Linked DNA regions of Drosophila melanogaster. The protein of the gene in region 2 purifies or fractionates together with the protein of the main gene of each other region. This does not show direct contact. Each region holds a gene or a part of one and is shown on either strand. Other genes may lie near its edges.

Region 1 (4,047 bases), on a different chromosome or scaffold from region 2:
TGCCTTCCTTCTTAGCGCGCTGTTTAGTGGGCTTTGCCTTGGTCTTTGGCTCAAGTTCTACCGCAGTCTCACCATTGGTTGTTTTCTTGGCGCGTTTCTTGGGTGCAGCTGCAGTTTTTGGAGGCGATTCCACTTCTTCTTGTACTGATTGAAAATCTCCTACAGTCTCGGGCGATGGCTCAACCATCTTTCCCTTCTTTGCTCGCTTGCTAGCAGCCTTTGGCGGCACCTCATCCACTTCCGGCTCATCGAGAGCAGCTGCGATCTCAGAATCTGCCAAACGCTTGGTTCCGCGTGCCCGCTTGGCAGCTGTCTCAGCTTTCTGCACCTTCTCTTTGCTTATTGTCCCTGGTTCAGCTTGCTCCTTTAACGTTGGTACTGCTTCCTTTCTTGCCCGTTGTTTCGGCGGCTCTGCTGCTTCCTCGGCCCCTCCATTTGCTTCTGCCGGCAGCTCCTTTCGCTTCCGTCCTTTGGCCTGGGCATTCGTTGGTTTCTCAGCCTTAGCGCGTCCCTTAGGCGGTGAAGACGTCACTTCGTCAGGAGCAGGAGTGGGCTCTTTTTTGGCACGTGGCTTAGTTGCCTTTCCAGCTGGTAGATCGACTTTGGGTTCTGGTTCTGCTTCTGCAGTTGCCTTCTTGGCGCGTCCCTTCGGCTTGGCCACCACCTCCATCTGGCCGTTTTCGTCTGTATCCTTCGGCTGCTTCTTCTTGCCACGCGCGGCTGCAGTGGGCGCCTTTTGTGGCTCGACTTCCTCGGAGTTTTCCGCAGATACAGCCGTCTTGGTGGCTTTCCTCGCGCGCGGCTTTCCTTTTGCCGGCACCTTGAGTTCCTCAGCGGCAGAGTCTGCGTTTTCGTCGACTCCATTCCCATTGGCATTTGGAGTGGGGTCAGTGGGTTCAGATGCCAACGCCTCTGCTTGTTTTTTCACGGCCTTGACACGCGGCATTATGGAGTTCTACTGCTCGGACTGATAGGTTCTCAAAAATGACTTGTATTTACTTCCACAGATTTCCAGCTTTTTCTTTTGCTTGTTTTGCAGAGCCACTGTCGCTTGGTTCAGCACCCGATATCAACAAAAAGAAAACTGCGCGGGCAACGCGATTTTTGCAAGCCGGTCGGCTTGACTTTGGTCTGCTTACAACACTATTTGTGTGCCTTCCTTGGAAAAACACGACTGTGGAGCAAATATTGCACATTGTGACGTCACTAGTAGTACAAATAGTTCGACGTCATTAGTAGTACAAAATGGGTGGAGCTCAATAACCTAATTGAAAAACTTTCTTATAGAAAATTATATTCAAGTTAAGCTTAGTATTGAACTATTAGATTGATATTCATGACATGTTTCGATCTTTCTAACTCATAGTCTTAGATTTCCAACACTTTTTTGCCTTTCCAAAATACAAAGTAGAAAAATGTAATGTTTATTTTTATTTATTTAATTCACAATAAAGGTCTTAAGTAATCATATATATTTTATAACAGAGGGCACACTGCGCCACCTTTCAAATGAGGACGCCATTAAACGCTGCGGTGTTATCAACACTGGACTTTCTTAAAATTACAAAGTACGTCCCCGCTGTGGGATTTTTTAAAAATTTTGTTATAATTCGACGATCTTTTAGTTGTGTTTTATTTTATTTCGACTAATTCGACCTTAAACGCGAAACTTCACTTGACGATTCTGGCCGGAAACAACACACCACAATGCCAAGTGAAATAATTACTTTGCAGCTTGGGCAGTGCGGCAATCAAAGTAGGTTTCTGAAATCAGGACGAGTACCATCTGCATTGCTAAAATCGTTTAAACGCAGTTGGCTTTGAGTTCTGGAAAAGATTGTGCCTGGAGCATGGCATCTCCCCTAGCGGCGTGCTGGAGGACTTTGCCAATGATGGCTTGGACCGCAAGGATGTGTTCTTCTACCAGGCGGACGACGACCACTACATACCCCGCGCGGTGCTCTTGGACTTGGAACCGAGGGTGATCAATACCATAATGGGCTCGGTCTACTCCAAGGTGAGTCCTCTCTAAATAACTTTTAATTTTTTGCGCCAAACCTACTATTAACTCCCGTAGCTCTACAATCCGGAAAATGTGTACCTATCCAAGCACGGAGGCGGTGCGGGCAACAACTGGGCCTCAGGCTATAGCCAGGGCGAAAAGCTGCAAGAAGAGGTATTCGACATCATTGACCGTGAGGCAGATGGAAGCGATTCGTTGGAGGGCTTTATACTTTGCCATTCGATTGCTGGCGGAACGGGATCGGGAATGGGCTCCTTTATCATGGAGCGCCTGGCGGACCGCTATCCCAAGAAACTTATCCAAACATTCAGTGTGTTTCCCAATCAGGACGAGATCAGTGATGTAGTGGTGCAGCCATACAACTCCATGCTCACCCTGAAACGTTTGACTACGGCTGCGGACAGTGTGGTTGTCCTGGACAACACTGCTCTTAATCGTATTGCCTGCGATCGCTTGCACATTCAGAATCCCAGCTTTTCGCAGATCAACAACCTGGTCTCCACCATAATGAGCGTCAGCACCACTACGCTGAGGTATCCATCCTACATGAACAACAATCTCATTGGGCTGACGGCTCCTTTAATCCCGACGCCCCAGCTGCATTTTCTCATGACAGGCTACACGCCGCTGACTAGCGATTCGGATATCCATACCCAGCAGCTGGTTAATGTGCGAAAGACTACTGTTCTAGATGTAATGCGGCGTCTGTTGCAGCCCAAGAACATGATGGTGTCCACTGGTCCCGACAAGTCAAATCATCACTGCTACATCTCCATTCTAAACATTATCCAGGGCGAGGTGGATCCCACTCAAGTGCACAAGTCACTGCAGCGCATCCGCGACCGCAAGATGGCCCAGTTCATTCCCTGGGGCCCCACCTCTATCCAGGTAGCCCTTTCCCGCTCATCGCCCTACGTGCAGAGCAACCATCGAGTGTCCGGACTGATGCTGGCCAACCACACCAGCATTTGCTCGCTTTTCGAGCGAGCTCTCAACCAGTATGACAAGCTTCGCAAGCGCGGCGCCTTTCTTGACCAGTTTCGACGCGAGGACATCTTCAAGGACGACCTCAATGAGCTGGACGAATCTCGCGAAACTGTTGACTGCCTGGTGCAAGAGTATGAGGCAGCCACGCGTGAGGACTACATGCAGTTTTCAGTGAAGCGGGGAAATGGGCCAGTTGACTCCAAGTCGGAGGATAGTCGATCTGTGACCAGCGCCGGTTCCTAGTTCGCTTGTGCCAGAAGAAATGCGTGCCATGCATCTTAACCAATGTATTTTAAAATGTAATATTCTCCAATGACGATGGGATTCGAAATCCTTAAGTAGTAGTGATAAGACGATTGTTGGTATGACTCGCATGTATGTAAACGCTGTTTCGTCTTTTACGATATTTAACGTTCGTATTTCCATTGTTGCAAAATTACACATGAGATTTCCCGATCATGTTTAATATGTGACACATTAAATAAAAAACAGTTTTTAAATGTGGTAGTGAGTGTTTATTGAGAAGTATATTACATATTTCTTTGGTGTATTTTATAATATGAAATCCTTATGGTTAATGTCGACTTGAGGCAGTATGAACTGATATTGCAGTGAGAATTCACTTGTGAAGCTGCACGATACTGCTGTCCTTGTTCCGTTGTCATGTCATTTCGTATGTCAAATATGTTTAGGGTGTGTTATTCAGTTTAAAATGTTCCTATTGTATTGAAGAAGAAAAGAGTTAGATATATAAAGCACATTTTATAAATCAAGGAAGTTTTTCGTTACCATGAATCCCGTTACCCATCGGCTTGCTTACAAGGAGCATGTGTCTTCATTAACCACCTCAGCGTTGCAATTCTCTTCCTCCTGATGAGGCTCTTCGCACTCCTCGCCCTCCGCTTCAGGAGTGACCTCTACATCATTGCTCTTCTCGCCCGGCTCCTCTTCAATGAACTCCACATCATCGTGTTGCTCTTCAGCTGCCTCTTCCACCTCATCATGATCTTCAGTCATCTCATTCTCATTTTCATCAT
Region 2 (4,922 bases):
CTCGCTGAACCTGTCATCCGCTGCCGTGAGACGAGTCTTGAGATCTTTTACCTCTGTTTCCAAATTTTGCTGAGAACATTCGGTTTATTGGTTTACAAAATCTCCATCAATCAGTTTTGGATATTGAGGGTAAACATATATATGCGTGCATTATTGAAGGAAAAAGTTTACCAAAAAGTTTGCCAACGATTAAATCAGTTTAATACGAAAAGGAAAACATTTACAATCAAAAACTACATAATAGGTGTGGTTGGAAAATTCCAAGTAAACCAGGAGCTTAATTGGTAGAGTTAGTACTGCATTGTTGGTTAAATTAGTGTTACAAGTCCCAATGGAAATCGTCAGAATCGGGAGGCATACTCACAGATTTATTGCGCTCAAAGAGGACTTGCTGCTCGTTCTCCTCTCGGCACTCTTTCAGGGCCACACTAAGTTCATCGATTTCCTCCTCCAGCAGCTTGACCTGCAATTAAAGTGCATAAGTATTGGCACATAGGTATTACTATCTAACCTACCTTATCGTCCCGCTGCTTTATTTCATCTTTGGCTTTTTCGAGTTCGAATGATACCTGCTTGCGGCTTTCAATGGCATCGTCGCGGGATTTAAGGGCCTTTCGCTTTTCGGTGGTCTCTTCGGCCACTTGCTTGGATAGACGACTAACTTGGGTTTCCAGCGCCAGATTCTGGCCACTCCACGAGCCTTTGATGTCCGACAACTGCAGATGGGCCTCCTCTAAGTGCTGTTCCAGCAGTTTATGTTCCCGGATAAGGGCTTGCACTTGTTGCTCGGAGTTCAGTTTGCCCAGAGACTCGAGTCGCGACTCCTCGACGATTTTCATGCGCTTTTTGAGGTGCCGGTTCTCCTCCTGTACAGCCGCCAGTGTTGTGGTCAGCAGATTCTTCTCCTGCTGTGTAGAATGTCGCAGTTGCTCTAGTTCGTCGCGTAAATCTTCGGCCACGGATTCAATGGGACGCAGACGTTCTAGTTCCTCGCTCAAGGACTCGATTTGCTGGGTCTGCTGGCGCATGAGACCCATGCGATCCACCGACTCCTGCTCCCGAAAGCTAAGCAGATTCTTCAGCTTGTCAATCTCGATTTGCTGTAGATTCTGAATCTTCTCCTGCTCCTCGCAGTATATGTCCTTCTGCGTCTGGGCCACACGCACACTCTCTAGCAGAATCTCGTTGGTCTTGTCCACGCGCGTCTTCTCCTCCTGCAGCTGCTGCAATCCCTGCGTGACGGTGGACAGCTTCGTGGTGAGCTCGTTGCACTGACTTCGCAGCTCGCACAATTGCTCCGACTGCGAAAAGAGTGAAGGTGTTTGTTTATCCGTGTTTTTGTTTAATGTGTAAGTATACACAAATAGACTGTTTTTTTTTCGCTCAGTTTACCTCATTGTAGAATCCGCCACCGCCCACATCATCAGCTGAGTTGGAATTAATGCTAACGCGGCGACTACGTAGCCGGTAATTGTTGTTGTTGTTGCCGGGATAACGTTGATTGGCTGATTGGACCACATCATCGCCAGTTTCCTCCTTGATCTTGTTTTTCAGTGTAGCAAACATTGTTAGGTTTTTCGAGGGGGGAGCTTTTTCTCTGTTGCGCTGCTCTATTTTCTGTATGTGTACTGCCCCCGACTGAAGTTGGCCTGCTTGTGGCTGGGGCTGACGAAAACGTGCCCACAGAGCGTTTATAGCATGGCGTTATATCTGGTGGCCGTAGTGTTCTACTTGCTTATCAGGCGAATGCTAATTTTCGTAAACCGTCGATGTTGTTTACCATCGATAAGAATCGACTTTGCAGTAACGTAAATCGACGAACAGCGTTGCCATACCGCTGTGTTAACTTTTTCCCGTTGTACGGCAGTGCTGCCAGTGCGCATGGCAGCATTTCGATAACTGACGCCAGAAACAGCTGTTCCAGCGCGCTTCATTTTCCAAACAGAAAAAAAGTGTAATTGTTAGCGTCCTTTGTGAAATTGTCAAGTGTTAGAATTATTGTGTGCGAAAGTTAACTATTTGAGGACCTCCCATGGACCAGTCTAAACAGGTTTTGCGGGACTATTGCGGCGACGGCAATGGTACCTGTGCATCGTCCTTGAAGGAAATCACCTTAATTGAGACCGTGACCAGTTTCCTGGAGGAGAATGGCGCCGCCGAAATCGACAGAAGGGTCCTGCGCAAACTAGCCGAGGCACTGTCCAAAAGCATAGACGAGTAAGTCCAAAACACTAGCATAAACAATAGCTTACCAATAAGACTTGTGTGGCAAATCCATCGAAATCCCTGGCAACTGCGAGTGCGCAGCAGATGATCGCCATGTGACATGGTGATCGTGCCCACTGTGATCGGGAACTAACGCTCTCAGCTGGAGCTCTCCCGCATCCGTACTGCTCGGCCCCATAGGGGGAGGCATACTCACAAGCACAGGCGTACAATGGGCGTATTACCCACCCCAAAAAATTCGAAGAGAGGAACAATAATACATCTGCACTGAAAAAAATTTTAAAGCTAAATTTCCATCAATATTTATTTTAAAATGTTTTTTAAAAACATTAAGTGATTTGGATTAATTTACGATTTTAAATGAAATAAGATTTGTAAGGTACTCTTATAAGATGTACTTTTATTTTTAAGATTGTATGCTTCATCACTTTTTCAAATGCTGAATAGAGTCAAAGTTTAATACATTTTTTTATTATAATCTTTAGATTTACTATTACTATTCTGATTCCTAATGAAAATGAAAATTTAAAAGAAAAAGAATTGGGAACACAAATGTAATCCCTTAAGTATACAACAGATATTTCTGTATTCTATTCGTAGCCAATGAACTGAGTTTGCTGACCGCTTTCTCGCTGTGTACGGCATTGGGAAATGCGTAACATCTGCTGAGCGCATTTTCCTTTTTCCTCGCAGATGAGCCCGAGTTTTCCGCCCGTTTGCTGCTCTGCCTTTGGTCGCTCTGAATCGGTCGCATCGCAGTTTCAGTCAGTTATGTTCTAGCTTTCGGTTTATTTGGACGTGCAGAGAGCGTTTTTCGGTTTATTTTGCTTGCCTCTCGGCTATCAATCGTGCCATATGTACATACATACATATCTATATACTCACTTACCCATATATACATACATATATGTAAATAGAAACAATCAGCGGGTCAAGCGTTGTGCGGGTGTGTGAGTGATTGATTGTACATACATATCTGTACATAAGTGCAATTGTTTATATTGCACTGCGAGATACAAAAAGTGATAGATTGATTTGTAATTTATTGCATTCGTTGCTGTGGATAAGCGATTAGTGGGATGCTGGTGGTTCTCGGATGAAAAACAAAAAACCAAATCGAAATACACAGATATATAAAGTACAAAGTGTGCTCGGATTTACAATAAATGTAATATATACTTAGAAATACTAAAGATATCTGTGCTTGTGCCCCCTGATGCTGCTGCTGCTGCTGTTGTTGTTGTTGTTCGTTTGTCGTTTTTGTCGCCACGATGCTGCGGCTAATTTTAGTCGGAGAAAAAGTATACGAATTAATTTGTTTGTGAAATAGAGCATTCCATGGCTCAATCGACAGCCGCAACAACCTATATCATTATCTGCGTTTTCGCACTTCCTGGAACTCTGAATTTCGTCACAAGTCGTCTTATCAGACTGCAGTTTCGTCGTATGCTCCATGTGTGTGTGTGTGGGTTAGTTAGTTATATACACATGTGCATTCATCAGGGGTCATGGACTCGTGGAATTAACCCCTATGGGGTAAAAACCGAACAGAGCACCTCTTTTGTTGCCCTTCCAAAACTGCAACGCTGACTTCCCTACCCTCGAAAAACAAAGCATCCTGGTTGGTAAAGTACAGTATCGTTTGTATGATATGTAATTTGAGGGATCATAAGTAGAATTTATCATGCAAATGGCTCATTTAGTTTTGTTTTTATCGCATTCATTTAAATTTAAATAAGGAATTAAAAAAAAACACACTTTAGTCATAATTTAATTGAGTAATGTTATATTTTATTTCTTATTCAATTGAAATTTCCTTTCTAATTTTGAACAATAAACATCTTGCATATTTTATGAATGTTTTGATTCGATTTATGAATATGAGTGACATTTGACATCCTGTTCAAAAGCCTTCAAGATTCAGTGCGTCCTTCGTCATATGGTTATTGTCTTAAGATGCTTTCCTCGCATATCACTCGCTATAGTCTCGATCCACTTCTGTTTATTGTTATTGTATTTCTTTGTTGATTAAGGCAGGCGCCTTTGTGTGTCGTTGGCCATAGTTTGACACCCACTCGAGGCGCGCCAGGCAGCCAGGTAGATGAGTCGCGTCTGCGTTCCAGGTGAGGTGAGAATGGGCTGTTAACTGCAGTTTACCTGTCGATGTGAGGGCCCTAAAATGCATTCGCGGCAAAGTTCAGGTGCTAAACGAAGAGACACATGTTCCGGCACGGTTCAAAATGCACACCTGTTGTTCCCAGTGACCAGGTCGCTCAGCTGTCGGCTTAAACCATTGATTTTCATTACCACCATAGTAACCAGCGATAGCCGAATGCCAAAACAAAACAATGAGTGAAAATGTTTGGCAGAATTTTCTTGTCCCGTTCACAAATTGCTGTTTCTAATGCGGTCGCCGTTTTGCTGTTTGCTCAATTCCCAAAATAAATAACGACCAGAGGCGGTGCGTGGTGCAGTGTATGTGGTGGTTAGTATCTTCAACGATGCGGTGGCCCACATGTGCCGTCGTCCAACCCCCCGTCCTGTTGGGGATGCATCCCGTCCGTAGGAGCGCCAGACTCTTTGAAGACTCTTCTTCCGCTCTACGGCTGAATGCTCCTGATTGCTGCTGCGCACGTCGCATCGCCCAGCAGCCCATGACTCATGGCTGCCCGTCCCTTCGAAGACGACATGGCGGA

What was found. The genes of interacting proteins can lie anywhere in the genome.
Region 1: the proteins of cnn (region 2) and gammaTub23C purify together in Drosophila melanogaster (affinity purification with western blotting, with the first as the bait; 3 studies listed by BioGRID). This does not show direct contact.

The regions. Positions count from the first base shown.
Region 1 is NT_033779.5:2,971,352-2,975,398, forward strand, and holds gammaTub23C (gamma-Tubulin at 23C), read left to right. Parts: upstream 1-1,539; 5' UTR 1,540-1,707; coding exon 1,708-1,756; intron 1,757-1,814; coding exon 1,815-2,017; intron 2,018-2,077; coding exon 2,078-3,253; 3' UTR 3,254-3,507; downstream 3,508-4,047. Other genes in the region: Rrp1 (recombination repair protein 1), read right to left, coding at 1-946; CG9641 (uncharacterized protein), read right to left, coding at 3,827-4,047. UniProt on the Drosophila melanogaster protein: Tubulin is the major constituent of microtubules. The gamma chain is found at microtubule organizing centers (MTOC) such as the spindle poles or the centrosome, suggesting that it is involved in the minus-end nucleation of microtubule assembly.
Region 2 is NT_033778.4:13,447,469-13,452,390, reverse strand, and holds the start of cnn (centrosomin), read left to right. Parts: upstream 1-1,915; 5' UTR 1,916-2,032; coding exon 2,033-2,217; intron 2,218-2,990; exon of another isoform or gene 2,991-3,394; intron 3,395-4,922. Other genes in the region: Golgin97 (golgin 97), read right to left, coding at 1-69, 365-463, 516-1,301, 1,393-1,566. UniProt on the Drosophila melanogaster protein: Core component of the centrosome throughout spermatogenesis. May participate in mitotic spindle assembly and the mechanics of morphogenesis through an interaction with microtubules, either directly or indirectly. Is a target of several homeotic genes.